Linked DNA regions of Kluyveromyces lactis. The protein of the gene in region 1 purifies or fractionates together with the protein of each later gene. This does not show direct contact. Links are inferred from orthologs where the notes say so. Each region holds a gene or a part of one and is shown in the gene's direction. Other genes may lie near its edges.

Evidence for each region.
Region 2: the proteins of SGO1 (region 1) and CSE4 purify together in Saccharomyces cerevisiae (affinity purification with western blotting; 3 studies listed by BioGRID, with this or other methods). This does not show direct contact. The link is inferred for Kluyveromyces lactis from reciprocal best matches to the Saccharomyces cerevisiae genes SGO1 and CSE4.
Region 3: the proteins of SGO1 (region 1) and SMC2 purify together in Saccharomyces cerevisiae (affinity purification with western blotting; 4 studies listed by BioGRID, with this or other methods). This does not show direct contact. The link is inferred for Kluyveromyces lactis from reciprocal best matches to the Saccharomyces cerevisiae genes SGO1 and SMC2.
Region 4: the proteins of SGO1 (region 1) and BRN1 purify together in Saccharomyces cerevisiae (affinity purification with western blotting; 3 studies listed by BioGRID, with this or other methods). This does not show direct contact. The link is inferred for Kluyveromyces lactis from reciprocal best matches to the Saccharomyces cerevisiae genes SGO1 and BRN1.

What each region holds. Positions count from the first base shown.
Region 1 is NC_006037.1:697,604-705,234, reverse strand, and holds SGO1 (Sgo1p), read left to right. Parts: upstream 1-3,725; coding exon 3,726-5,510; downstream 5,511-7,631. Other genes in the region: NUP133 (Nup133p), read left to right, coding at 1-2,702; DAD2 (Dad2p), read right to left, coding at 2,791-3,189; CDC21 (thymidylate synthase), read right to left, coding at 5,671-6,609; UFE1 (Ufe1p), read left to right, coding at 7,057-7,631. UniProt on the Saccharomyces cerevisiae protein: Plays a central role in chromosome cohesion during mitosis and meiosis divisions by preventing premature dissociation of cohesin complex from centromeres after prophase, when most of cohesin complex dissociates from chromosomes arms.
Region 2 is NC_006039.1:1,062,165-1,068,708, forward strand, and holds CSE4 (centromeric DNA-binding histone H3-like protein CSE4), read left to right. Parts: upstream 1-2,679; coding exon 2,680-3,234; downstream 3,235-6,544. Other genes in the region: serine/threonine protein kinase PKH1, read left to right, coding at 1-780; ARP9 (Arp9p), read right to left, coding at 929-2,263, 2,377-2,406; formin-binding protein HOF1, read right to left, coding at 3,429-5,252. UniProt on the Saccharomyces cerevisiae protein: Histone H3-like nucleosomal protein that is specifically found in centromeric nucleosomes. Replaces conventional H3 in the nucleosome core of centromeric chromatin that serves as an assembly site for the inner kinetochore.
Region 3 is NC_006040.1:1,345,286-1,353,558, reverse strand, and holds SMC2 (condensin subunit SMC2), read left to right. Parts: upstream 1-3,554; coding exon 3,555-7,067; downstream 7,068-8,273. Other genes in the region: RRT5 (Rrt5p), read left to right, coding at 1-1,179; KLLA0_D16027g (60S ribosomal protein uL2), read left to right, coding at 1,867-1,870, 2,348-3,108; MET10 (sulfite reductase subunit alpha), read right to left, coding at 7,137-8,273. UniProt on the Saccharomyces cerevisiae protein: Central component of the condensin complex, a complex required for conversion of interphase chromatin into mitotic-like condense chromosomes.
Region 4 is NC_006041.1:608,026-616,252, reverse strand, and holds BRN1 (condensin subunit BRN1), read left to right. Parts: upstream 1-4,010; coding exon 4,011-6,329; downstream 6,330-8,227. Other genes in the region: KLLA0_E06755g (sugar porter family MFS transporter), read left to right, coding at 1,309-3,312; i-AAA protease YME1, read left to right, coding at 6,757-8,227. UniProt on the Saccharomyces cerevisiae protein: Regulatory subunit of the condensin complex, a complex required for conversion of interphase chromatin into mitotic-like condense chromosomes.

The sequences.
Region 1 (7,631 bases):
CTATAAGAGATGCTAACGGGAAACCTTTTGTATCGCTAAAACAAACCATAATAAAATGTCAAGTCGGAATCTTTTCATCCATGTCCAAATCAAAGAGAGTGGTATCTCTCAAATTGGGCGAAATCAGCGGTAAAGGAGAAAGAATAGTTTCTATTTTAACCCAGGGCGGGCGATATCAGGTGTGGAACCTTTCATCTGTTGGGAATTGTTACAAAAAGATCGATTTAAATGTACAGTCTGAAATTTCACAGGCAGTCTTAGAGCATTTCCCCTTGGCAACATCTACACTGAAACTACTCGATTGTCATCCTTTATCAGGAGACTCGGATGCATACTTGTTCTTGAGTTTCTTAGCGGAAAGTAACGAAACGCACTATTTACTATCAACCATCATTGTGGATGAAGATACTAACAGTTTCGCTATCTTCTCTACTTACAGATTAAACACATACACGCGACCATTATCAGATGAATTTGCCCCAAGACTTATAGTCCCAACTGCATACACCAAGGAACATTTACCGATAACGTCTGTTTACACTTTATTCTCTGATGCTGCTGTCCTAACTCAAACAAGTTCCAAATTGGACTCTAATTATCCATTTAAAAGGAAATGGGAGGACATTATACGGTTTAACAAAGATATGAAAGTTCTTGGGTACGATTGTAATTCAAGTTCCTTATACATTACTGATGGAAGAACATGTGCGTTAAAGTTGGAGACTTTTGAAAAATACGAAAACTCTGACTTCCAAGAAATTAGATTCATAAAGTCTCATGTGGATCAATACGTCTATTTTGGAGGACAATCAACGGATTCATTACTAGACTTCAACTTACCTGACAATCTAGATCTACAACCACAAGAAATTGAAACAGATATTCAAATGTCCAGTGATGAGATTAAATATGCATTATCAAACCACATACCGCCTGTTGCTAACAACCCCATGAAACACTTAAAAATAAGAAGCGAACTTTTTGAAAGACTTCTCACATTTGTTGCTCATAATTTTTTGGATCAAACATCTTCCCAATTCAAACTGGACTTGATTTCTGATTTTGAAATGATAAAATGTTTGGAAAGCTTGTACTCTTTACTACCGCAACAACCAACATCTATTTCACAAGCTTGGAAGACAGTACTATCAGAAAGTTCCTATCAATCGGATTCTGATTTTATCTCAGACGGCATTGTTAAGATTCCAGAATTATTGGGCGCCTTTTTGAAGCATTTGAAAGACCTAATGAAATCCACAAATGAAACTATGTTAAAATCTCAGATCGCAAAGCTTATAAATCAACTAGTTTATCATTCCATATTAGAAGAATGTGAAAACAGCTACAGGTATGGACTTTTCCAGATGAGCCCAGATGATGTATCAAAAAATATCCCTTGGTTCACAACAAATAGCATAATAGAAAATCTTAATGACATCTTCTTCTTGTTAAGGCATGCCTCTGAAGATCTTGCCGTTGTGTCAGAATTTGTAGAGGAATTACTGCTATTGGTTAAGTCTCTATTTTATATGGTCAGGCAAATAACCATGTGGATTGATGCAAATGCCATTACTGATTCTAGTTATAAACAGTTTTTCGAAGAAAATCATTTACTTTGGAATAGGGTCCTTAGGGATGTTAACAGGTCTCAGGATTCAATTCTAATCACAGATTTTTACCAAGACTTTGAAGGCTTAGTTGAAACTTTGCAATCTCTGCCAAAAATTACCGCATTCTCTCTATACGATGAATTCTTCCAGAAATACGGATACGACTTTGCAAAATCCTTATTTTCCTACTATATCAAGGAAGGGCTATGGGATGATCTTTACGAATCGTTTGGTGAAACCCATTCAGAATATTTGGACCAGTTCTTAGGAGAATGTCCCGAGTATGGCAAAGTTAAATGGATTGGAAACATATATTGCCATAAATACGACGAAGCAACTACAACTTTGTTGAGTATTTCTACTGGAACTCAATCGCTGGGTCAAGATTTGAAACAAAGACAGGCACAATTGAGTATTGCCAAATTAACAGCTCTTGCCGCGGAAGTTCAAGATCTTGAAAAGCTAAACGAAATTCAAACCGAATTAGATCTCATCGATGGGCAAATTCTTCTATCCCAAGAACTACAAGAATCAACTCTCAACCCACTATTCAAAGACTTTACCACCTATCGAACTTTGTTCAAATATTTGAGCGATGCTGTGAAGAGGAGAGAATCTCTCTCAGTGCCGCATATGATAGAATTATTCACACTATTAAATCAAGATACTTCTTATGGATTTGCATTGAGTATCCTTGCCATTGATCACACGTTACCCACTGAAGTAAAAAAGTACTGCGAGTACCAGATCTGGAGAAGGTGTCTCTTATCCGATGAAAATGCGGTTAGACAAACTTTAAGGGTCTTTTTCAAGCAGCAGTTCTACCATCAAAGTATCGAACTTCCAATCATCGACAACTTGGCCAATGAGAAATTGATCACTGACTCATACCTGGATGGCATGTACCATGGACTAACCGATCTTAATAAATTAGCTAGCGACGTCAAACGAGAGGTTGCTCTTTTCGCTAATTCGAATTTGGACGTTACGATGTTACAATCCATCATTGGAGAAATCAACGAGGAAACCGGTAACCAATGTGTCATCAATTACGCAACTAACACAATCGAGACAAGTCCCACATCTTTCTAATTCAATAATAGAAGAAGGTGCCACACCAATTAATTGTACATAGTATAAAACCTGTTTATACACCATATGTATATATTCAATAAAAACGTTATTCAACGTCATCTGCAACTTTCACCCGTACCAAAGTTTCCGGAAGCGGAGGTAATTGATCCTGTTGCCGCTGCTGGTTATCTTCTGAACTTTCTGACGCAGCACTTTCATCTTCAGCGCCCTGTTGGTTTCTATGTTCCTCTTTACTGGCCCATTTCCCAGTCTCATAGTCGTTTTCTGTATACTGAAGTAAAGATATCGAAGCCTGAGAGATAGACCGAAGAACCGAGTCCCAATTAGCCATTACGTCTTTAACAGTCACAGCATTGCTATTCATCTGCGCTACCTGAACGCTCAGCTCGTCCAATTGAGCCTTTAATTTCTGTGTCAATGCAGAAACATGCTTCAAATAATTCAATTCTCTTCTCTTAGTCTCGATCTCGGTTTCAAATGCCATACTGACAACTTTTTTTCAGGTGACCCAAACCTCTTACTCTTCAGCTAGAATATATCATCCAACTCGCTCCGAGAAGTGTCTATCTTAGCTGATAATTCTTGGTTCTTCTAGTCTTTGAAAGAATTCACATTGTAGAGATTAGTTCAAAGTCGTGATTTCATATTATTCCGATATTGAAATAAAGGAAGAAAACTCGAGAAAACCGACTTGTATCAGGGGAGATTGATCTATACAAGCTACGCTAAGCATTAACACCGCTATTTAGAATGAACGAAGGGTTGGATAACATCAAATTGCCCATTACATGTCCAACTTACCTCATTTGAATTAAATGTAGTACTAAATATGATCCGGGTAATCTTGTTTTTTTGTGTTTACATCGTAGAACAAAACGTAAACAATGAAAACATTCAAAGCTTTAGATCTCATTCAGCGTTTAAATAACCTGTTCATTGACTGAAAGAAGAGCGATTCCTAAGTCTATAGGGACCCGAATTGACGGCGGATAGTGTTACTAAGTTTTGTGAGAGTGCAACATGAGCGCTTCTTCGCAGTACGATGAATTTCAAGCTATGCTTGAGCAACAAAAGGGAATTTATTTACAGCAGAACAGTCAGCTTGCGAAATATAATTCCAGTCTTATGATGAAAATCACTGATATGGAGACTAAAGTGAGTGAATTGGTGCAAGAGAATGTTTCCTTACGGTCGCGGCTTTCTATGGGTGAATTGCGCTATCGTGAGAAGCTCAATACTGTTTTCCAGACGTTAGAGGACGGAATTGTAGAAAAATTCTTGCAAATGAACCAATTGTTGACCACAGTACGGGAGAGCCAGGGTTTAGAATCAGGTATTCATGATAACCCTCTTAAACCGATTTTGAGAGGCTCGAATGGTATAAGCCCGAGATCTGCGAAGAAAGTGGAGTTTACTGGTGCAAATACCACAACGAAACCAGTTGGGTTTGAGGATCCAATTGCGGAAGATAACCATGAAAATAGCGGGAATAGTCTCGAGCTGAATGATGATGAGGTACGACCTCTGAGAAAGAGGAGGCGTAAGAGTTCACGGAGAGAGTCGTTGTTCATTCCTGCAGATTTCGAGTTTAACGATGAGGACCCGGAACTAGAACTGAATCAACTGCCGATAACTGAGGATGAACCGCCGCCTAGTACTGCAGCCACCTCAGTACCTGAGGAAGAGTCTCAGGAGAACAAGCATACAAAAGAAGAGCGTGAAGACGAGGGAAAAGAGAATGTCTCTACGATACCTTTGGTACCGGTCCTTCCATCTGTTACTAACACAGGCACTGAATGTAGCAATACCAATAAAAATAATACTACAGAAATGGAAACTGCACTTGCCGAAGATGATTCTTACAATTTCACTACATCAGTCATTGAATATTCCATTCCAGAGGAAACTTCAACTCACGAGCATTCACATATCCTACTGGAAACGTCGAAATCGAAAATTGATGTATACAACGACAGAGAAGAGACAAACAACAATGAGGCTGATGACTCAATGAATATCGTCCAGTGCACAATCCCATCACAATCGAAAATTAAACATTCCATGAAACATCCTAGGACGAAACTGAAAGGTGGCCAAGATGATATTATGCCCCACACAGATTACGATAAAGATGATGAAAAACGAGAAAGAAGGACTAGAGGCAAAGCTGTCAACTATAAACTCCCATCACTACGTGCTAAGATGCGTAGACCCACTGAAAAATTGGTGGATGCCACAACTGTCACCGATATTCATGATTTACAAGTGAAACGTAGAAATAACCAACAACAGGGAATACCGTCTGATGACGATGATCAGGAAGAACTCTTAGTGCCTGCTGGCGTACCTGACACAAATGTCGTCATTGCAACAGTGGAAGAAGAGAACAGAAAGGAACCACCGGCTTTACCATTACATGAGATTCACCTTGCACAAAACGTTAAACCTAAAATCGCTCTGAAAGAATTATCAGCTAACGCTATCAACAGAAAAGTTAAAACATCTACTGCCGTAAAAGCAATAAGCCACACTAAATCGCGAGTGCTTAAAGATGTCAAGTTCAACACATTGCCCACAAAGCAACAAGCTATTGAAAACAACTCGTCCGATCCAAATGTATCTGATGAAAATGAAAATAGCAACGTGAAACCGACAAGAACTAAACAGGCTACTTCAGATCTAGCAGCATTTGAAATTATAGATGGAATTTCTCTGAAACATGTATCCAGGACACATCGTGTCAGAGCAAAAGAAGACATGAACAAAAAACGTAAAAGAATTCATAATGACGAAATAAGCATATGATAGAACTACCTCAGCATTCAACCCGTCCCATACCAACATTCGATACCAGCATATGGCACATATCATATGAATCTTTTTTTTTTTCCGGTATTTGAGCATGATATAGATAATATTAAGTACATACATTAGATAGACAAATGATACCAATTATCCATGATCCTCAAACGCTCATCTTCATTTGAATCTTCCCATGAGGGTTATAGTCAGTTATTTCGAAGTCTTCGTATTTGAAATCGTCGATATCACTGACATTTCTCTTTATCTTCAATTTTGGGAAAGCTCTTGGCTCTCTGGCAATTTGTGTCCTTAATGCATCAACATGATCTTTATAAACATGCGCATCACCCAAAGTGTGAATAAATTCACCAGGTTCCATATCACAGACCATAGCAATCATCTTCGTCAGTAGCGCATACGACGCGATGTTAAAGGGTACTCCTAGACCCATATCACATGATCTCTGATAAAGTACACATGACAATCTTGGTTTGGCACCTTCTCCCTTGGGGAAACTGACGTAAAATTGCGAGAAAACATGGCATGGCGGTAAAGCCATCTTGGGGAAATCCGGAGGGTTCCATGCAGAAAGAATTATTCTTCTGTCGTATGGATTTGTCTTCAACTTATGAATAATCTCCTTCAACTGATCAACACCTTGACCACTATAATCATCATCACATGTCTTATATTCGGCCCCAAAATGTCTCCATTGGAACCCGTAAACTGGTCCTAAATCCCCCTCTCTTCTGTCAGTCAACCCAAGTGAGTCCAGGTACTCACGAGAACCGTTACCTTCCCATATCTTAACGCCTTGTTCTGATAATTTCTTCCCGTCTGTACATCCAGCAACAAACCATAAGAGCTCCAAAATAATACCTTTCGTAAACACTCTCTTCGTAGTGAGAAGCGGGAAAGTATCATTGCTCAAATTAAACCGTAACTGTGGAGGCGCAAAAAGGGAATAAGTCCCTGTACCAGTTCTATCTGGTCTGAATTCTCCCTCATTGATAATCCTTTCACATAAATCCAAATACTGCTGTTCTTCCGCGTTAACAGCCTCAAGCTTAACTCTCTTCACGTTTTCATCGCTCAGCGTCATGGTTGACAAATGTTGGTTGTTTAATGATCCGATAAAACGCCAAAGGAGTCGAAGGATGGTTGAAGTAAGATAGAGTTTAAACTAGAGATGGCCTTTAACTCTTAAAAGCCGTAGTCTGATTCTTAACGCGTTTTCGTGTTGTGGGAATTTTTCAATGGCCGGGTAATGATGGTGAAACAATGTCACGTGCTACCTAAATTCTTAATTCCATCCTCGATGAAGCTTTGGTCTGGCAAACGAATGCGAATCAAATTTAACCAAAGGTTACTTTGGTTAAGGAGGTACCGTTCTACTGGTAATTATACTGTCTATTAACTGTCCAATTAGAGGCAACTATCGTGTGTGTTTACCCTATCTAATCTGGGACTATAAGCGTTCCTTGTTCAAGCTTTTCTATGTTGAGTAAGTGTCAAAAAGAATATATACAAAGAAAGTGACTACCTTAATATGAGTAATAGAACTGAGCTCTTCAAAAAGTACATGCAAGTGATTGCAGAGACTCAGGGAATTGATGATGCTAGGAACGAATTGAATAATACGAAAGCGAGAGAGGATAGAGAAAAGGTGAAGGAAAAGTTTAGTGTAAAGGATACTTTTGTAAAAGAAAGTAAGCAGTTGATGAAACATATTATGGAATTCCAGATAGTGATAAGGCAATTGACTCCCAGGTACGAAAGTGCTACTGACATGACTGATCAGGAGAAAGATGATTTTGATACAGAGAGCAAACTTCAATTACAGCAATATTTCGAGAAATATAAGCAATTGGAATCGTATGAAAGACAGAGACAAGAAATGATGAAAGAAAAGTTAGAGAAATGGTCCGCAACCGTACCATTTTTCTCTAGATCAATTGACGATGTATCCAGTTTCCACAAGGTGAATAATCAATTTCGTATGGGTATATTACAGTCATTGAATATGTGGCTCATGAAGATTTCAGATAGGTTGTCAACCATTCAGCAGACACGATTATCCAGACAAAGACATATCGAAGCCATTGATTTCAATGCTCAATTACA
Region 2 (6,544 bases), on another chromosome or scaffold:
AAAAAAAATACTCTACTGACTCAAGTTGTTAGAGGAGGCGGAAATGTAACTGGCTTTCGTCAAGAGAACTCAAACTTGGTTGAGCATGACTTTTATAGTGAGTATCTGATTGATCCTGAAAATGTTGAAGCGAGCTATCGTAAGCAATCTGGCGCAGATGAGGCTTCGCATGAGGGTATGTCAAAATTGAAACATTTCTTTTCAAAGGCACCTGATGCACCTGCAGAATTTATCGCACAATCAGAATATATTAAAAGAATGTGTGTAATAACGACATTCGGAAGGTGCCTTTTATTTGCTAGAAAAAACAAAATTAATCAAAATTCAAACCTTTTCTATGATCTAGAATATGAGATAGATTTGTCACAGTTAGGTGTTCGCATAAAGGAGGTTGTACCAGAGAAGAAGACAAGTTCGAAAGATATCTTCGTTGTACAGACGCCATTCAAAACATTTGTATTTCAAACGGACGAATCAGATACCCTGGTATGGTTGCATTCCCTAACTTCAGCGATTAAAAGCAAAAATGAAAGATTCACTAATAATGAAACATCAATCAATCCCATTGCTAACAAAGCGGCATTACTAGCTGAGCAGGAAGCCGAAACACAACTTAATGGGTATAAAACTACAAAAACTCCTTTCCTCACTAAAAGAAGGTCCAGTTTTACCTCACAGAGACAAAAACAAAACAATAACGGGAAGCTGGGTACAAGACCAATATCAAGTGGATCTAGAATGCTTTCCCGGAGCGAGCAAATCTTTAGAACAAACAAATGATCAAAATTCTAGTAAGAGTCATAGCTCAATGCTCTAGAGAAGTTTGATGGGCACTTTCTAAATGTACGGTACTCTGAACTGCATTTGCTGATTGAAATTACAATGGATATCTGTATACGTTTATATATTGAAAAAGTACTAGAATTATTTAGAAAGAAACCTCCCAGATGGCCTCTGGGCCTAGTTCGTCATACTTCTCCCTTGTGACATAGAATGAATTGTTAGAATGCCCAAACACTTGCTTTGTTAAGATCTGGGCGCCTAAGAAGGTAATATCAGCGAAACCAATCTTCTTCCATTCCGAGAAATATTCAGGGAACTTTGGTGTCATGATGGTAGTTGGTGGCTGCACATATTCAATCTGATTTAAGATTGGAGCAGTGGAAACCTTCCCAATTTTCTTCTGTTTAGAATCTAATTTAGCCGCAGCATCCACCTCTCTTTTATACAGTTCCTCTTCTGGTTCACTAACTATATGGTCTTTTAGCAGCTGTGATAGAAGAGCTTCCCTGAACCCTTTTATATGTGATGTCCCTCCAACAATAATGACATTTTCCCACATTGCTTTAAGCTTGGTTATGTCATCAATCTGGCTCATTGCTTGTCCTACAGCTTTCGAGACATCCTTCAACAGATCTTCATAGCCTGTGAATCTCTGCCTGCTTACAGTAATACGATTACCATCAGTATCAAAGAAGTCATTTGTCTCTAATTTGCTGTTGTCCAGTTTTTCTTTGTTTTTGTTTCGTTCGCGCTCTTCTAGAATTTCTCGAGTATCACGCCCACTAGTAACAATTGTAGCCACATCTAAAGTACCTTCTTCGTCATCTTCGTTGTCGATAGCGTATTGATCCATGATATCTTGGGACAAAATTTCGTATATATCCGACCTTTTTAAATCCTCAATTTGGGACTCGGTGAGATTTGGTAAAGCTCTCTGTAGATTCTTATTTATCGAGTTTCCACCGGAAGTAATCTGTCTTATGAAGCAGGTTAAGGGTGTATAGTCCATAATTGGTACAACATCGGTGTGAAACTTGCCAATATCGATGATCAAACAATTTTGCAAAGAGCCATAGGCAAATGAATTAGCTAACGAGCTAGGTAATATAACAAAATGCTTCAATTTCATTGCTTCAAAAGCTGTTCTGCAAAGTAGTTCTTGTTGGAATTGAGTCCAAGAGTAATGCGAAATTAACAAAAATGGAATATTAGAAAGAGCTGTATCCCAAGCGATTGGACTATCGTCACTCTCCTGTTTTAACACAGATTTATAGATCAACTTTAGAAAATATTGGAACGCATCAATATCGACAATGCTTCCCTTCACAATGGGACAGATAACAACATCAGTAACAGAGGATGTAAAGTTACCATTTGCATCTCTGTAAACTTTTGTTGGAATAGAAATCGAAGGCGGCTGCAAAGTATCTTCTCCAATACCAAATTGAACCAAAGTCCTATTGGATCCTGGATATATTATCTGGACAAAAGTACCACATGTAGTAATGTGAGTGGATCGGTTAGTAAAGTTATCTTAGTAGTTTAAATAACTAATGTTTTCGGAATAATGAACAATCTGGATACCGCACATACGAAGTAACTGTCTTGTCTTAATGGTGCCATTTTTGCTAAATGGTTTCTAACAATACAACAAAGTGCTCGATTTATCGTAACAATACGAGTTACAGTTGCTAGGTCAATGACGAGACTTTTCCTATCCAAGTAGCTAATTCAAAGTATAAACTTGTTTATCTTCTATTACTTTTTGAATTTTTCAAATAATGAAAACAGTTATCTAGCTAACATTAGCCTACTCAATGATGAATATGACACGCGAAACATTGAAATTAGTTCTATGACACGCAAAAGACCATACGGAAAAGAGATTGATACATAATGGAACAGTCTATCAGGAGCATAGACGGTTCTAGATCTTTGAGCAATGTTGGCGCTTCACTTATAGATCGTGAATCGATCAATCAGAGAGCACTACAATTATTACAGAGAAACAGAAGAAGACGTTTGTTGTTAAATAGAAGTGAAGACAAAGCAAGATACATCCAGCCCGAGCGTTCTGCTAGCAGCCAGCAGATTCACCCTCCAGAGCATCATATCAGCGCACATGAAAGAATAACAAAGGCTCGGGGAACTAGATATAAACCTACTGACCTAGCTTTGGCAGAAATAAGGAAATATCAAAGATCCACAGATTTGCTTATATCCAGAATGCCCTTTGCGAGGCTAGTGAAAGAGGTAACAGATCAATTCACTACCGAGAGCGAACCTCTTCGATGGCAATCCATGGCAATTATGGCTCTTCAAGAAGCAAGTGAAGCCTACTTAGTCGGTTTATTAGAGCATACAAATCTATTGGCACTTCATGCTAAAAGAATTACAATTATGAGAAAGGACATGCAACTAGCTAGAAGGATACGAGGTCAATTTATTTGAAGCAATCCTTCCTATCATTTAAAGTACAGATTTATCTGCTCAGCTTCAATTTGCTAATAGTTTGATGTCTATTGGAAGAGCAGAAATTATATATAAGTATAGAACTTTATATTGGTTACATATGGTTACAAATTCATTATTTAACGGGTGAAAATGGTCAGAAAGGAAAGCGTCCAAGGTGAAAGTGATGTACATCAATTTATTACTTTCACGTAATTCATTGGTACCAGACCATGCTGTTTGTTACCTTGATATACCTCACCCACATACCAGTCATCATTTATGCATTCGACTAACAGCAGGATATCACCAGAATTGAAAAGTAGTATGTTATTTTCATTGGGTTCAGTGTACGAATACATCGCTTTGACATATTTTACGACTGGATTTTTCATGGAATCAACGATGGGTAGATTCAATTGTTCACCATCAATAGTCACACGTTTACAACGCATTATATTCAAAGAGTTGCTGAAAGGCAACACTGTTCTGCTCACAGTTAAGTTGCTAGAAGCACCAGAGCTCGTTCTTGATGTCATCGGACGATCATTCATTTCCAAGATTTCTAATGCTGTTTCGACATCCGATGCGATGGATTTTCTACGATTTGCAGTTGGTGGCTTCAGAGAGTTGTTATTGTCGTTGTCAGAAGTATCCGTATCCATTGTGGGCGAATACATTGATGAAGGTCTAGATTTTCTTCTATTGCGTGAATTCCAAGATTTAGCAAACCTTTGAGAGTCATCGACACTTGAGGCCATGGATGAGAGAGAAGTCGACATGGAATCATAACTTGCCTTATTTTTCCTATGAGTAAAGTCCGTTGGATTTGAAGAAGTCTCTTCTGAAGATTCTGATAATGTTGCTCCATGTCCTGGCTTTGTAACCACTTCTAAATAGTTTTCAACGGAATGCGGAGCAGAGTTATCATTTAGGACCTTCGATTCTATGGAATTAACAAGGGCAGCATCAGTTTTTGGAGTTGGCAACCCTTTATCGACACTTAATGCATTTATTGAATTGAGCCTGGTGTTCTTCAGCTGGGTTGATAGTCTTTTTATATTTTGAACATACCTATCATTCTTTGTTAAATCCAACGCCTTGTGAGAACTCTTCGGACGGATCACATTAGATGGGTTAGAGTTAGCACTTGAGTTGTGCGTTGAAACTGAGTTAGAGTTTTTCAACTTGATTCTTCCAGTACCATGGTGGTAAGAAAAGTGCGATATTTCAAGTTCAGGTGTGAAGCTGGAAAGTTTTTGTTTTAATTGTTCCATCAAAGAGAGTTCCAGTTCCGAAGGCTGGGTTGTAAAATCAGCGTATTGTTGTAGTAATTCCCTAGAGACCTGGATTCTTTGTGTTTCTAAACTTTGCAATTCTCCACTAATATGTCTCCATTCCTCAAACCAATGTGCTCTAGCAGCTTTACATTCATGATGTAAGACGGTTTTCCTACGGTGTGATTCTTCCACTATCGAAGACCATTTTTCCAATTCTCTCGCATTTTCTTTCCTTTGGTATTCGCCCAAGGCAGTTTCTTTGTTGAGCTGATACTCTCTCAGTTTATTCTCAGCACTGAGTAATTCTTGATCTATAGATTTCAAGGCTTTCTTCTTTTCATCTTTCAACTTCCTTAAGTTTTCCACGTTTCCCGTTATCGTTGACCATCTGGCTCTATATTGCTTTAAGAAATCACTCATCGTACCGACATTTTCCCTGTTGAGCCTCTCATATGCCTTAGAATGACCATTGGCTATTGTCTGCTGGGAGGATTGGAAATATTTTAAGGATTCAGACATATTATTGTAGTCCGCATATCGTTCGAGATTGTTCATTATTCTTGCACTGAGTGCTCCTAATCTTCTTGCATAATCCATCTCCAACTCACTTCTCTTAGTGAAACAATCGAGCAATAACTCACAGGTGCATATACCTCTTCCAACATGCTGAAGAAGAACGGTAACACCTTGATCGTCTTCGTCCCAGAAACTTTCTTGATAGTTGTATATTTGAGTCATTCAATCGATAGCTTTCCTTGCTAATACCTACTCTTTGTTATGCCCTCAACTTCCCTTCAATTGTAGATTGTTGAATGACAAAACAGATACCGTACATCTAACTTCAATCCTTGTGAATTGTTAACATACACCGAACAAAGTTTGGTGAGAGAGCCAGAACCATCCATCTCTACAACTGAATACAATCACTGTGATAGTGCTGTTCGATGATGTTTACATTATTCCTGATTGGGGAATAAGTTCAATCACGTGACTTATATTTTTGTTTGTTTATTGCAAAGCAAGTAATAATACCAAAAAGGGAAATTATGCTTAATTCTGTACCTCTATCATTTTTGTCTGTACCGGCCGTACAAGAACATGAAAAGAGAAAGCGAGGATAAATAGGAGAGCCTAAAATCCCCATAATCTCTGACGATTACCCTGGTATATGGACAGCACCGTCTAATGACTTGAGAGTCCAATTAAATTCCTGAATTAACCCATCGCAAAACTCTCTATGTCTCCTTTGTGATATGCTTTAGCTCCGCACGGGATTGCAATGAAATAATTAGCAAAAACGTCGTGAGTATTTTCTTCCTGCTAAGAACCATCAAAGAAGGTTCACAGAAAACAACGTACAAACTGTATATCAGGGTAACCAGCCGAGTTTTCCCCTGTTTTCATTACGACATTGTTCCCAAATTGAGACTATTTCTCTGCAACACAGTACATACAATGATACAATTCGTAATAGCAATCGTCCCCTTAAAAACGGCAAACAAAGATGACAACCAAGGCACCAGCTCAACAGCAAGGGTTCCAACTACACTGAGGGTATAAGTTTCTGCGGTACCTCAGCTTGGTTCCTTCCTTTTTTATTCTCAATTATTCTGGCCAGTTTTTTTTCGCCAGGAGTCCCTAAAAAGTCACTCTAGCCAATTTTTTTTTCTTTTAAGTTTATTTACTTTGCAATATCAAGAAATTATATATCCTTAATTATAGGGTTTCTAATCAACAATTCACTTTAGCATATATTCGCTTCGTTGCTTTATTATAAAACAAACGTGAATTCAAGTGTATTTCGTTCGTAATTACAAGTAAAGGTTTATCATAGTTACGTTTACTCCCACTAGAAAGAAGAGTTAATACTAAACTTCTCAAAAAACGGGCAAAGGATAAGCAAATTACTGATATCGAAATCAGAACGTGAACCAAGTCCTATTGTGTTTTACAAATTTGAGAGGAACATAAACCAAAAAACTACACTACTTGGTCGCTCAATTGTACGAGTCTAAGGAACACTTTCGCTT
Region 3 (8,273 bases), on another chromosome or scaffold:
TTGATCCCAAGTCAAACTGTGAGAGGCTTGAAGAATAAAGCAGTGCGTCCATTTGGGATTGCATATGCTGAATTTTCCAATGAAGAAGATGCAAATAAGGTTATTCAAGAATTGAATGGGAAATTGTTCATGGAAAGGCATTTGAATTTAAGAATGCATATTCCAATTGATTCTAATAAGGTTCAAATCGTTAGAAAATCATCAGTGGCTGTGGTTGCTTCCTCTACTGCAGGTGCTGATCCATCCGCCTCCTCAGATACTCCTGCGGAAGCACCAGAAGTGGCATCCGCGCTGGAACAACAACCTCTTGTTAAACAATTGAAATCTAGGAAGCACAGGTTGACTCCATTTAGAAGAAAAAAGAGAGAGGAGCCAGCTGTTGAAGCAGATATTCCTGAAGCTTCTACTGAAAATGTTCAAGAAACTGGTAACAATGAGACGGAAGTTTCAGAAGCTGTTGCTGGTGCGGCTGATGCCAATGCCGGTGCCAATGCCGATGCCAATCCGATAGTGACGGTTGATCCAGTTAATTCTGAAAGTTCTGACGTTGGGAACGTTACCACTGTGATAACAGAAAAACCTGTTTCCGAGACCATTGCATTCATTGGATTCATTCCTCGTAATACGACTGATAATCAGCTACGTGAATATTTCAAAGGATTTGATCCACAAGAAATTGTTGTATTTAAAAATAGAACTTATAGACGTGGGTTCACTTTCCATCGCCATTTCACAGCAGCCTTGGTAACGTTCCCCGATGCCTTCAGGCTAAACGATGCGAAACAGTTTGCAACACAAGAGAAATTTAGGGGCAAACAGATAAACGTGAAGAACGCATTTATAGAAAAGATTGAAGAAGTGCAAAGGGCTTTAGAGAAGAAGGCGGGTGCTAACACTAATGGAGAGTCCGCGGAAGGCAACAACGAAATCCCAGCAGATGCTGGGGTAACAGGAGATGAACCTGATACAGCTAATGCTGTTGCGGCAATTCCTATCGAGGGAAATCCTCAACCACAAGCTGACGGTAATGACGGTGCTGTGGTGGAGCCCGAGGCCAATGCCGAACCGCTTATCGACCAGGAAGATGGTGTGACAGCATCGCAGGACAATCCATTACTTAATTCAAATGCAGAGTCTCAATTAGAATCTCAACAACCTGTAGAACAGGTCGCAGCCTAATACACATACTACTAGCATTACTACTTCTATCAATTATATAACTATGGTTTCATAAACAACATGCTTTTCTACGTAAAATGCAACAAAACAGTCATCGGGCGATCAGTCAATCAGTCAATAAATTCATTAGTGACACATTCAACATCAGCAAGTACACAATAACAGATTATGTGACTGTTCCACCTTACATCCGTACCTCAATGTATTTTATATATTTTTGGAATTTGGTTATACATTATTACTGTTTAAGGTAATACACATAAACTTTTTCAGAAAAACTTACACAAGGCAGTCCAATTGTGGTAAGGCTGGGTGTCCTGGGCAGACGTCCCCCTGCCGATATTCCTTTCCTCTAAGACTGAGCCGTTCTGCCAGGGGGAGCTGAGACACAGAGTCTCTCTGTCCGGCTTTCCTAGTCCTGCCCAGGAAACTCTCCCTCCAGGCTGGAATTCAGATTCACAGAACCAATGCCTAGGCTGGGACCAGAGTTTCTGCCCAGCCCCTTCGGTTCCAGTACATGGACCAATTCTGGCAAATGGTGAATTTTCAATATTGTAGGTATAGTTATTGAAGAAAGAATTAAAGATCATTCATTGAAACTATATGGTAATACTGCTTTGCAATAGTATTTTGTGTTACACTTTATTCTTATTGCACTGATACTGTCCAACCAAACCGAAGTAAACAATGGGTATGTCTATTACGGTGACATAGAGTTATGAGGATTTGAAAGCACTGAATTAAAGAAATGGCCATCATTTTAAGAACGAATAATGAAATATAGAATAATGTTAACCAGGCACACACCGGCCATAATTAAACAATGCAAAGAGCGAATATGATATGTTTTGAGAGTTGATGATTGAATTACTGTTAGCGATATGCAATATATGTGTTAAATCTACCAAAGAAGATGATTGGGAATTATTACGTCAATATCATTGGGAAAAAGAGATTTAAACGATACAGAGAGCAGAGGAAGAAACGACAATAGCTGGCATGGGATCAATGATAGATCTGGAATTATAATGAGTGTCGATTCAGATGTGGTTCAGATGTTTTTTCAACAATTATAATAAGAATTTTTCAGTTATACTAACAAGAATTATCTTTCAACAATGGCATGAGCATTTTGCATATCCATTGTCGATTGTCAGTTTCAAAACAGGTAGAGTTATTAGAAACCAAAGAAAGGGTGCTGGTTCTATCTTCACCTCTCACACCAGATTGAGACAAGGTGCTGCCAAGTTGAGAAACTTGGATTACGCTGAACGTCACGGTTACATTCGTGGTGTTGTTAAGCAAATCGTCCACGATGCTGGTAGAGGTGCTCCTTTGGCTAAGGTTGTCTTCCGTGACCCATACAAGTACAAGTTGCGTGAAGAAACCTTCATTGCCAACGAAGGTCTCCACACCGGTCAATTCATTTACGCTGGTAAGAAGGCTTCTTTGAACGTTGGTAACGTTTTGCCATTGGGTTCCGTCCCAGAAGGTACTATCATCTCTAACGTCGAAGAAAGACCAGGTGACAGAGGTGCTTTGGCCAGAGCTTCCGGTAACTACGTTATCGTTATTGGTCACAACCCAGAAGACAACAAGACCAGAGTTAGATTACCATCTGGTGCTAAGAAGATCATTTCTTCTGATGCCAGAGGTGTCATTGGTGTTGTTGCCGGTGGTGGTAGAATCGACAAGCCATTGTTGAAGGCTGGTCGTGCTTTCCACAAGTACAGAGTCAAGAGAAACTCTTGGCCAAAGACTCGTGGTGTTGCCATGAACCCTGTTGATCACCCTCACGGTGGTGGTAACCATCAACATATTGGTAAGGCTTCTACCATCTCCAGAGGTGCTGTTTCTGGTCAAAAGGCTGGTTTGATCGCTGCCAGAAGAACTGGTTTGTTACGTGGTTCTCAAAAGACTCAAGATTAGATTTAAACAATCTCCATATGTTTAGGTTTATTGTTGTATAAAAATAATTTTATTAAATGTCATTTCAAATCTGTGTCTGAAGAACGATGTGGATTCCAATAGTATACAAAGCTTCAAATTTCAATATAATTATTAGTAAACTACTTCTACATACCGTTTTTTAATCATTTCATCCTTTCGTCATATTATCACAGGCTATTTTTGAGCACTAAGATCCCCATCGTCTCTGCAATGTATGTTTTGCCTTTGTCTGTCTTCCCTCATTATTTTATGCAGATTTGATTATGAGAATTTCAACATAAATAAAGATTTGAAATATGTAAACAAAAGACCTGATGAGATCAACAAAACAAACACAAAGGCGAGTCAAAAAAGTGAATCCAACCCTGTCAACGCTTGCTGTGAGGTTACATATCTGCTGCTTTAGATAACCCGGTGATATCACAATGAAAGTGGAAGAACTTATCATCGATGGGTTCAAGTCATACGCCACAAGAACTGTCATTACAGATTGGGATCCTCAATTCAACGCCATCACTGGTTTAAACGGGTCAGGTAAATCGAATATTTTAGATGCGATATGTTTTGTGTTGGGTATTTCATCAATGGCAACCGTTCGTGCTCAAAATTTACAGGATTTGATCTACAAGAGAGGTCAGGCTGGGGTAACGAAGGCCAGTGTTACCATCGTATTTAATAATAGCGATACCAGTAATTCACCAATTGGATTTGAATCGCATGCGAAAATCTCAATCACTAGACAAATCATACTCGGCGGAGTCAGTAAATATCTGATCAATGGTCATAGGGCCCAGCAACAAACCGTGCTTCAGTTGTTTCAATCGGTGCAATTGAATATTAATAACCCGAACTTTTTGATCATGCAAGGTAAAATTACCAAGGTTTTGAACATGAAGCCGCAGGAGATTCTTTCGTTAATAGAAGAAGCCGCTGGAACAAGGATGTTCGAAGATCGACGGGAAAAGGCAGAAAGAACTATGGCTAAGAAGGAGACCAAATTACAAGAAATTAGAACTCTTTTGACTGAAGAAATTGAACCAAAACTCGAGAGATTCAGGAATGAAAAGAGAACGTATTTAGAATTTCAAGAGACTCAATCTGATTTAGAAAATGTGATGAGAGTGGTAAATGCATTTGAATTCAGTCAACTCTCAAATAAAAAGAAACATATAGAAGAAAGTTTACATTCTGGTCAAAGTAGACTCGAAGAGTTGGAGGATACAATTTCTAGGTTAAAGAACGAAGTCGAGAACTTGGGAAGTGATTTAGACGCTCTAAAAGAACAGCGGCATAAGGAGGTTCAGTTAGGTGGTAGAATGTCGGAATTGGAAACTAAAGAATCTGAAATTTCAAATGAGCTTTCAAGGGTGCAAACAAGTTTGAATATCGCATTAGAAGATTCGGGCGAGGAAAAGGTAAGGATCAGTAACTTGAAGAAAAATATTGAGAGGTGGAAACAACAGCATCAGGAAAAGAAAACTCTATATGACTCGAAATATAAAGAGTACAATATTCAAAACAAGAAACTTGAGGAACTGAAAGCCATTCATAAAGAAAAGCAAGAACTACTCTCAACTCTAACGACTGGTATCTCGTCTACCGGTACCACTGCAAATGGATATAATTTTCAACTATCCACCATCAAAGAGAAGTTACAAAACACTAGAATTGAAATAAGGGAGAAGGAAATGGAAGTGGAAATGCTTAAAGAAGAGCTCAATTCAAATACTCCCAAAATTTCTGCTGCCAAGGCTGAAAAGGAAAAATACGATAAAGAAATACAAAACATGCAACATCATTGTAATAATCTCGAAAAACAACTTGAACAGTATGGTTATGATCCAATACTATTGAAAAATCTAAAGGATAATGAGCGTTCCTTAAAACATACACACTATCAATTGAGCCAGGAAACAGAATCCTTGCATAGGAAGGTCTCAAACTTGGACTTCAACTATGTTCCACCTTCAAAGAATTTTGATGTCTCGTCTGTTAAGGGAGTTGTCGGACAATTGTTTACCCTTGACGAAGCAAACATTGATAGCTCTGCAGCTTTGCAGGTTTGTGCAGGTGGAAGACTTTTCAATGTTGTGGTAGATAACGAAAGAACTGCTTCACAACTTTTGGAACATGGTAGGTTACGCAAACGTGTAACAATCATTCCTCTTAACAAAATTTCGTCACGAAGAATCAACGAGTCCATCTTGCATTTAGCAAAAGAATTAGCTCCTGGAAAAGTGGAATTAGCTATAAACTTGATTGGATTTGAGGAAGAAGTCACGAGAGCCATGGAATTCATTTTTGGAACAAGTTTCATTTGCAGAGACGCTGAGACTGCCAAACAAATTACATTTAATCCAAGAATCAGATCTAGAAGCATAACATTACAAGGTGATGTCTATGATCCTGAAGGAACACTTTCAGGAGGAAGTAGGAATTCTTCAAATTCACTACTACTTGATATTCAGAAATATAATCATGCATCATCGAGGCTCAAACAAGTTGAGAACGATTTGCAGGAAGTCGGCTCACAAATCAAAGACCAGCAAATGAAAGCTGAAAACTCAAAAAATGTGTTATCCGAATTGAATTTAGCCACACATAAGCTTAAGTTAGCTGAGAAGAATGCACATGCTAGCAACGCAATGCAGCTATTTAACCGTAATGAAGAAATTCTAACTCAATTGAAAAACTGTGAAATGCACATATGTCAGTTGACATCATTGACCAAAGAATACGAAACTGAGATAATAAACATTCAAAGAGATATGGAAGAATTCAATAAAGACAAGGGTTCAAAGCTCAGGCAGTTAGAAGCTAATCTCTCTGAAGTCTCTGCAGAAGTGGAAAAATTAGACACTGATACGGCTAAGCTGTTTGATGAATATCAGAACTTGAGTTTTGACACAGAACAGCTACACACAGATATTTCTAACGCCCAAAATGAAGTATCAATTGCAGAGAAAAGGCTTGCAGAACTGGAAACAACGTGTAATGAGTACGAGGGCGTTGTGAGGACCAAAAAGTCTGAACTTCACGAAGTACACAGTATTTTACAAGAGGAAATGTCCAGACTTTCAGGAATGGAAGATGAGATATCAGAACTAGAGTTATTGCTTAAAAATAAGAACCATCTACTTTCAACTTCGGAAGTGGATTTACAGAAGATTACAAACGACTTGCATAAATACAAGAATAACACTTTTGGCATCGATCAAGCCATTGAAAATTTAATCAACGAAAATGATTGGTTGGAAGATACTTCCATGGTCAATAGCATCTTGACACAGAATAAGAACATTAATCTAGATCAGTACAAGAAACGTGGTTCCGATTTAGCCGAAAGCTTTCAGAGCTTAAGAAGGAAGGTGAACCCAGAGGTAATGAGTATGATTGAGAGTGTAGAGAAAAAGGAAACGGCATTGAAAACAATGATTAAAACCATTGAAAAAGATAAGCAGAAAATTCAGGAAACTATCGAAAAGCTTAACGAATACAAACGAGAAACTTTAATAAAAACATGGGAGAAAGTCAGTGTAGATTTCGGAAATATTTTTGGCGATCTTCTCCCGAATTCATTCGCCAAATTGGAACCTTCAGAAGGTAAAGATGTAACCGAGGGATTAGAAGTTAAAGTTAAATTAGGTAAAATTTGGAAAGAGAGTCTGGTAGAACTCTCTGGTGGACAGCGTTCCCTAATTGCGTTATCATTGATCCTTGCATTGTTGCAGTTCAAACCTGCACCAATGTATATATTGGATGAAGTGGATGCCGCATTAGATTTAAGTCATACTCAGAACATTGGTCATCTTATTAAAACCAGGTTTAAAGGCTCCCAATTTATCGTTGTATCGTTGAAAGAAGGTATGTTCACTAACGCTAACCGGGTGTTTAGAACTAGGTTCCAAGATGGTACATCAGTAGTTAGTGTTATGTAATGATTCTCATATACCAAAATAAATAGATTGATAAATAATAAACAGTATTCAACGAAACACATAAAAAAATCAGTAAACTTCTAGGATATATCTAGAAGTTTCCTTTAAGTCTTCAATGGCAGCATCCAAGTCAACGTTGATGCCCTTCTCCTTCGCATCTGCAGCAATAATATCTTGTAGAGCTTGAGTGATATCAGGAACAGGCCACGTTGGACCACATAAGTAGAAGGAACCTTCATTGTCAATCATTGCAGTCTTCAACTCTGGCAAGTTTTCTTTGATACGATCTTGGATGTAAATCTTTTCAGGTTGATCTCTGGAGAAAGCGGCACCGATGTGAGTGATAATTCCAGCATCCTTATAAGCTTCCCATAATTCACCGTATAAATATTCTTCTCTCTTGTGTCTAGAACCCAAATACAAATAGACTTCACCGATTTCATAACCTTGTTGTCTTTGCCACAATTTTTCTTCTACGATAGCCTTGAAAGGTGCTAAACCAGTACCTAAACCACTCATAATAACTGGTTGCTTTGGAGATGGTGGCAACTTCATAACACTTGGTTTCACAGATACAACAAGTTCAGAACCGATAGCTAAATCAGAAATGAATTTTGAAGCTTGACCATATCTCTTTCTTCCCTTATTATCAATCCAGTCCACAACGACAATCAATAAATGGACTTCGTTAGGGTGGATTCTTTGAGAAGATGCGATAGAGTATTCTCTTCTCTTCAATGGGGCAATTATTTTCACAAGATCTTCAACCGATGGTCTGGCTGATGGGAATAACTCGAAGATATCGGCATAAGTATAGTACTCGACATCTTGTAAGCGTTTTAATTCAGTAGCACCGGCAGCAGAAACTAAGTTTTCTAGCTTACTCTTCTCTTTGTCGTCAGTACAAAAATCGATCAAACTCTCGTAGAAGCGCTTTGGTGGTTTACCGAAAATATCAAGATTTTCGACGAAGGCTTGCAAAACGGTTCTTGACTCTAAGTAGTGATGGTCATCCTTATTTGGTACCTGAACAATGTCACTTTCATTCAAACCATAGTACTGCAAGAATTTTTGCACATTCTCCAAGTTGTTTTTTGCATGAACACCCAATGCTTCACCAATATCGTAAGTCATTCCTGTCCCAGAAATGTCAAACTCAATATGGAAAATGTATCTATCATAGTCATCTGGAGTGACACGTCTGTT
Region 4 (8,227 bases), on another chromosome or scaffold:
CACTACATTCGAATTCGAGTTTTCCGCCAAAAATTCATCCCAACAGTACTAGAGATACCTCTAGTTCTGAACAATGTTTTCTAATTTCTTGATCATCTTTTTTTTCCATCTTTTTTTTTTTTTTTTCTCGTTTTTTCTTCGGAACATATTATTTTTTGCTACAAGTATACAAGTTACATACAAAACTGGCTGGGAGTGCTTTGAAAATAAATTGCTACTGGAAATAAACAAAAATATATGCTGCGGGGAAATTTGAGGCAAGGGTATTTTCCTTTTGGTTCCAATTATTCCAGCCATGGAAAAATGATATATATCATCGAGGACCACTGGCAAAATCTACTGCGGCTTTCTTACTGTAAGTTTACAAGTCCGCATATTTAGTTTGCTCTTTGTTCATGAAGACTCGAAACTCATCTGATCTTGAATGCTCGAACTACTATGGAATCATAGCAATAGTATCTCCGTTGCTCCAGCCTTCGACATAATCGACGGTTGCGTTTCAGCCCATTCGCGTGGGCTGGGCTATTGCAGCCTCATCTTCTCATAACCAGCCATAATTCCTCCTTAGCTCTCGAAGAAGATCGCTGGTGCGCTGGATTATTTCCCACCTGATTAGGTGTTTCTAATACGTAATTTAGTTTCATTTTCTTTTTTTTTTCCTATGCGGTTCGTGTATTTTGCCGTGATTTCCTTTTATGAAACTGGGAGTCTGCTTAAAAAACAACCTTAATATTCACTTAGGCTGACTCTATTCATTCAAGCAAAGGCAGTAGTATAGTCCGGCTCCTTTCATCTCTGGCTTTTGCTTGGATCGTCTCGCTACTGCAAGCAAATAGTGATTGAATTTTTTTTGATTCATTTTTGCGTTGGAGACTATTATTAGTCCCTGTTAGTAGCCGGTAGCGCTTAACACCACTGCAAAATGAAAACTGGATTACTTCCGTCAACGTTAGCTATGTTATTTACACGGCTTCACGGAGAACCTGAATTGAAAGACAGTATATATAAGTAGGCTCTGAAGTATATACTTTTCTCAAAGATCGTGTTGTCATGGCTGTTAATACTTTTACGTCAAATATTTTTCCATGATCTTCCTCCCATATAAAAAAGGTTCATAACAACCAAAAACCTATAATAGTTTTGAGAGGGTTTATCCTCATATAGTTTTTGCATTATAAAGTTGTTTTGTTTTTCCTGAATTTGTCTTAGAAAAACTTGTACAAAGGCCATTAACCGATTTACGTGAAGAGGTCTTGAAGCAGAATATTATTGAACAGATAGAGAAAGATTGTTAGTATCAAAATAGTCATGGATAATAAAGAGGTTAAGAGTAGTCCTTCAGTTGAGGATGTTAACTCATCTACCAAGAAGAGTGCTGATCTGTCGAATGCAGAAGTGACCAGCTTTCATGAGGCAAAGAGGAAATCTGCCGGTGGTGGTGTTTTCGTTGCGATGAACGATGACAGTTCCATTTCTAGTATTGGTGAAGATCCAGAAGGAAGGGATCCGAATAGTGTGCAAGAAGAAAATATATTGGCTGAATATTCAGAAGAGCAGGTTATGAACATGGGACGTGCTTTTGCTAAGAAGTACGAGTTGCCAAATGATGATGATATTTTCGCTCGTGGTGCTGCTTTGGCCAGAAAACCAAACGAATACGACAGGTTAAATGTTCTAAAGGAAGATGAACGTATTGCTTGTTACGATGAAATTCATCATCCTTGGAGAGTCCCTCCAAAGTTGATTGCTATTATCGCTGCCAGTGCAATGGGTGCTGCCGTGCAAGGTATGGATGAAACTGTTATCAATGGTGCTAACTTGTTCTACCCTAAAGAATTGGGTTTAGGGTCAGGATCCAAGAGGGACGATTGGTTGGAAGGTCTTGTTAACGGTGCACCTTATCTATGTTGTGCTGGTGTCTCGTGTTGGGCTACCGATTGGTTGAACAATATGTTTGGTCGTAAAAAGGTTATTTTCATCACTTGTGCTATCTCTGCTATCACCTGTTTCTTACAAGCTTTCGGTCCAGCTGGTACTCCAGGGTGGCACTATTTGTTTGCCATGAGATTTTTGTTGGGTTTTGGTATCGGTCCTAAGAGTGCTACGACTTCCGTTTACTTGGCTGAATGTTCTACCAAAAAGTTACGTGGTATCATCTGTATGAACTGGCAAACTTTCACTGCTTTCGGTATCATGTGGGGTTACGTTTTCTCTTTGATCTTTTACAGAGTTGGAAGAGCTGGTATTGCCGGTGGGTTGAATTGGAGATTAATGTTAGCCAGTGCTATGATTCCTGCTATTTTAGTTTTAGTGCAAATCCCATTCTGTCCTGAATCTCCCCGTTGGTTAATGGGTAAAGGTCGTTACAAGGAAGCTTATGAATCCACCCTCCAGATTAGAAATCACAAGATCCTAGCTTGTCGTGATCTTTTCTATCAACACGTTTTGTTGATGGAAGAAAACTCTTTGGAAATGTCTTACTGGACTAGATTAAGGGAAATCTTCACTGTTAGAAGAAACAGAAACGCCTTGATTTGTGCCTTCATTTGTGCCTTCATGCAGCAATTCTGTGCAATTAATGTTATTGCGTACTATTCCTCTGCCATTTTCTTGCAATCAGGTTTCACTGAAATTTCTTCATTGTGTGCTTCCCTAGGCTTCGGTTTAATTAACTTCTTCTTTGCTATTCCTGCCTTCTTCATGATCGACAGATTTGGAAGAAGATTCCTTCTATTAAACACGTTCCCATGGTTGGCAGTATTCCTTTTGATTACAGGGTTTTCTTTCTGGATCGATGATACAGAAAAAAGAATCGGTGTTGTTTCGATGGGTATTTACGTATTCTCTGCCATTTACTCTTTCGGTTGTGGTGTGGTTCCATTCGTTATCGCTGGTGAAGTTTTCCCCTTGTACGTCCGTGCCATTGGTGCATCTCTTTTCACCATTGTCTTGTGGGGTTTCAACTTCATTCTATCTTTAACTTGGCCAAGTATGCTACGTGCCTTCGAGCCTCAAGGTGCCTTCGGTTTCTATGCTGCTTGGAACGTCATCGGTTGGTTCTTAGTCTACTTCTTCATGCCTGAAACAAAGCAATTGACTTTGGAAGAATTGGATGAAGTGTTTGATGTACCATTAAGGGTTAGAGCCAAGTATCAACTATTGGAATTGTGGCCTAACATTCAAGAAAACCTCCTAAGAAGAAAGAATGTTAAGAGACAACCACCACTCGATAAACACCACAGAATGGCCATCAAGGCTGCCGAATGGAACGAAAAGGCTGAGGCTGAAGAATTGGAAGTTACCGAGATCTAAAATCAACTCAACACTTAATATTTTTATGTCAGTAGAAATATTTTTTGGTAGAAATTAACCTCCTTTGCATGATAAAGCTAGCTCAAACTATCATCATGTCATCGCTTTTCACACTAATTGATAACTTATCAAGTAATAATATTGCGAATTAAAGAGAATTTGAACAGAATGCCTGGTGTATTTAAATTCACTCTAATTCCCCTTTGTCTTCCTCTGTTTAATAGCTTAACTGTTGAACTTTCAATTAAGTAGATATTTATCTAGCTAGTTAGTAATGTTTTAATGTGATATTTTAAATGTAAGAAACAAATTTTAAAGTTCTAGCTAATATCTTGACATGTTGAAATAAAAGTGAAGAAGTCATGTAGACCAGGAAGTGATTGCAAACATTAATGACTATACTTACCAAAAATCGAATCAGATGCATTAGATGTGATCATGGGAAACGCTTGAGATGCTCCTAAAGTGTTCAAACCAAGGCTTTATGCAGCTGCTTCTCACGTGGAAACTTAGTCACTAATCACGATTTGATGTTTACGTTTATTTGATGTTTTGTAAACATTGAAGGATCGGGACGCAGTATTCAGATCCATTTAAAGCTGTTCAGGAAAACAGAGGCAAGTCAGGAAACGGGATAATTGTGAGCATTATTCAGCTGCTTTATCAAAGCTACCTTGGTTAGGTTTTCAGGAGTAGCAATGACTACCCAATTACCGTATGACGATGATGACAACGGTCTTTTCACGAATAAGTCCACTATGATGGCTAACTTTGAAGAATGGATCAAAATGGCCACGGACAACAAAATCAACTCAAGAAACAGTTGGAATTTCGCATTAATTGACTATTTTCATGACTTGAACGTGTTGAAAGATGAGGAGGATAATATTAATTTCCAGAAGGCTTCGGCGACGTTAGACGGTTGTGTGAAAATCTACTCTCATAGAGTCGATTCCGTCGCTACTGAAACAGGGAAGTTACTAAGTGGATTGGCAGAACGGAAAGGGAGGCAAATTAGATCCAATACAAACGGAGAGAACGATGATGGAGATGAGGAAGATGATGACAGTCTAGAGGTAGATCCTTTAACTGGTCTGCCGATTGCCCGTGATGACCCAGAGACTCTCGCGAAAAAAAAAAGGACGTACAATAGAGTGTTAGAAACGACGTTAGTTGATTTTGAAAGTATACGACTGAAAGATTTAGCACAAAACCTAAGTATAGATCCGTTGTTCAAGAAGGCACTCGCCGATTTTGATGAGGGTGGTGCGAAGAGCTTACTTATAAACACGTTACATGTTGATGAAAAACTCCGAGTTGTTTTTGACGCAACAACGACTGAACCTGAACAAGAACAACCGCAACCATTGGCCTCTACTGAAAGTCAAGTTCAGGAAGAAAATAATGAAGTCAGCGAATCAGCAAAAGAGACCTCGGAGGTATTTGGCTTGGATTCAGAAAAGGGTTCAGCAAATGAGGAAAATGTAGAATCAACCCCAGATACATCAGTCACATTGCTAGAGGATGATATATTAGATCTCGGTGTCAAATTCTTAGATTTTAATACTATTGAAACCTCAATATTGTGTCCATCGATGGATCAGCTCCAAAGTGCAGTAGCGGATATTGGAAAAGCAAAGTCATTTGTTGAAGGAGTGAATGGCCAATCTGATAAATTCTTGACAGAAAAAGATCTAGAGACCCTTCCTGAACTCGATGCGGAGGCAGAGTTCAACTACGAAATGCCACCAGAGGATGGTGAGGATGTTGCTGTTGATGCAGGTTCTATGGACTACGTTGAGCCAGCGGATAACATTCACGAACCAGAAGAACAGCTGGCCCTATCAAATCAACAGAATATGTCACAAATAGATGACAAATCGTATGGCGATGCGAGCGTACTCGATCAAGAGTTACTATCTTACTTTGACGCAGCGATAGGTCAGAATTGGAGGGGTAGAGAACACTGGAAGGTACGAAACATCAAGGATAAACTTAGCAAGGAGTCTGTGGCCAAACCACAGCAGCCAACTGAAGCCGATGGGAATCATGAACCAGCAGTTGAAAAGAAGGTACCCAAAAAACAGTTTGAGATTGATTTCTTGGATCTGAATGATAACATTGAAGAAGAAATATTTGCAAATAAAAAGGGGTTCATTGATCTATCAGTGAAACAAAGAACAAATGATTCACATTTCTTACTACCGGACGACTATAAATTCACAACGGATAAAATCACAAGGCTCTTCATTAAGCCCGAGCAGAAGATGAGTTTCTTTTCACACAGGAGGATCAGTAAAGCCAGGTTACCTGGGTCCCTGAAATTTGATGATACCGAAATCAAAGAAGTGAGTAATATTCCGGAGATTGCAGACGAACGCTTTTGGGCTGAAAACTATCAACTGCATGAAAGGGAAGAAGAGCACAAGCAAGATGACACACAGATAGAAAGATCAACCAATCCATCGTTTGAAGAGGATAACGGCATTGACTTCAACCAAGCCTTCGAAGATGAAGATTTGGATATGGATACAAAAGAAGATTTCGTAAACACGCAAGGATTAGTTGCAAATAATAAAATGACCTACTCCAGAACCTCCAAAAAGGTAGATGTGAGAAAATTGAAGAATAATGTGTGGAAGTCAATATGGCAACGTTTACATGTACTGAAGACAGACGAACAAAATGGGGAAACTACTCGGAATGAGGAAACTACTCAGAATGATATCGAATCAGAAGCACATCTGACCGAAGAGAAGCAGGGAAAGCAGGATATATCAGCAGAAATATCAACAAAAGCAGAGGGCTATGACTTGAAATTCACCGATATCGCTCACGATATCGTGAACATGTACACTTCAAGTGCCAAAAAGGATCTCTCAACCAGTTTCTGCTTTATCTGCCTTCTTCACCTCGCTAATGAGTATGGATTTACGATTAACGACACTACAAACTACCAAGACTTGGACATTCGGTTCCCTGAAAAGATTGCAGACGCAATTATTGGCAAGGAGTAGCCGAACTATAGCCGACGTAATTATTTTGTTTGTATATAGAAGAGTATTGATCACGTGATGTTCGTCTAAAAAGACCTCGTTCCTTTTTATTTTTCTGGCACTTTCGAATCGGATTTCAGCTGTTACGTAGAGTTTCTCCCTAATGAAATGCAACGCCACCCGGACGAGCGTTCATCAGCTTCCAAGAATTTGTTGATAATGTTGAAATTTGAGTAAATTGAGCATTTGTCAAATTTAAAGGTTTTTATTTTCTTTAGAATGAGGATATATATGGCTATGATTATTCGGGTCATTTAGAAGGCAACGAAAGAGGCAAAAGGCTTTTAAGAATAGTGAACAAAGGAAGCAACGAAAAAGTTGTATATACCAGCTCAGGTACTTTGAAAAAATCACTTTTACGGTGTACTTATTAAGTGTTAAAGGCTAGATGACGCTTCCGGTGTTGATTGGTGTTTCTGGTTTGTGCGCCAAGAACGCTTCTCGAGTGTTGATTCGTCAAGCCCCTGTCTTGACAGGGCCAATTTTAAGGACTTTGCATAGAAAGCATTTTCTTACAGGCAGCGTGCTACAAAACAGATTATATTCGGACAAGAACCAAACAGGCAAGGATCATAATGGTGTTACAGGTTCTCAGCATTCGGAGGACTCGAAGAACACTGTAAATGGGGCAACAAGTGGTGCAGAAAATGTTCAGCAGCCCAAGCAACTAAACGGGATTAATTCGAGTGATATTGATCCGGCAAATGGACCTGTATCACACGCTGTTTTGGCTACTAAGGAACAGCAAGCTAATAAAGATTTGTCTAACCCAAGTGCGCAAGCGGAGTTCTATAAACTTCTCTTGAAATCGAACTATCCGCAATACGTTGTTTCGAGATTTGAAACTCCTGGTATTACTTCATCGCCTGAATGTATGGCTTTGTATATGGAAGCTTTACAAAGGATCGGTAGGCACGCTGATGCTGAGTCTGTGAGGCAGACTTTGTTGACGACTGCTCCAGCTGGAAGTATTCCTCCTGCCGTGGCTTCATCTGGTGCTTCTTCCGCTGCATCGGCTAACGGTGCTGCTGCCCAAGTTACTGGAGGTGTTTCATCTGGTTATTCTGGCATCTATAATCCGTACATGGGATCCAAAAAGGAACCTCTACATGTTGTTGTCACTGAATCCACATTCTCTATTGTTTCCAGATGGTTAAAATGGTTGATCGTATTTGGTGCAGTTACATACGGTTTGACTGAAGGTTTCAAATACATTACAGAACATTCAACCCTCTTCAAGACAAATGAAGTCGCCGATAAATCTGTGGATGTTGCAAAGACTAATGTAAGATTTGATGACGTGCGGGGTTGTGACGAAGCTAGAGCTGAATTGGAGGAAATTGTCGATTTCTTAAAAGATCCTACCAAATACGAATCCTTGGGTGGTAAGTTACCTAAAGGTGTTCTATTGACCGGACCTCCAGGTACTGGTAAGACTTTATTGGCAAGAGCCACCGCCGGTGAAGCTGGTGTTGACTTTTTCTTCATGTCAGGGTCAGAGTTTGACGAAGTTTATGTAGGTGTTGGTGCCAAGCGTATCAGAGAGTTGTTTGCACAGGCCCGCGCTCGTGCCCCTGCTATTATCTTTATCGATGAATTGGATGCTATTGGAGGTAAGCGTAATCCCAAAGATCAAGCTTACGCAAAACAAACTTTGAATCAATTGTTGGTTGAATTGGATGGGTTTTCCCAAACAAGCGGTATAATTATCATCGGTGCCACTAACTTCCCAGAATCATTGGATAAGGCTTTGACAAGACCAGGTAGATTCGATAAGGTCGTCAATGTTGACTTACCTGATGTTCGCGGGCGTGCTGACATTTTGAGACATCATATGAAGAAGGTTACTGTTGCTCCTG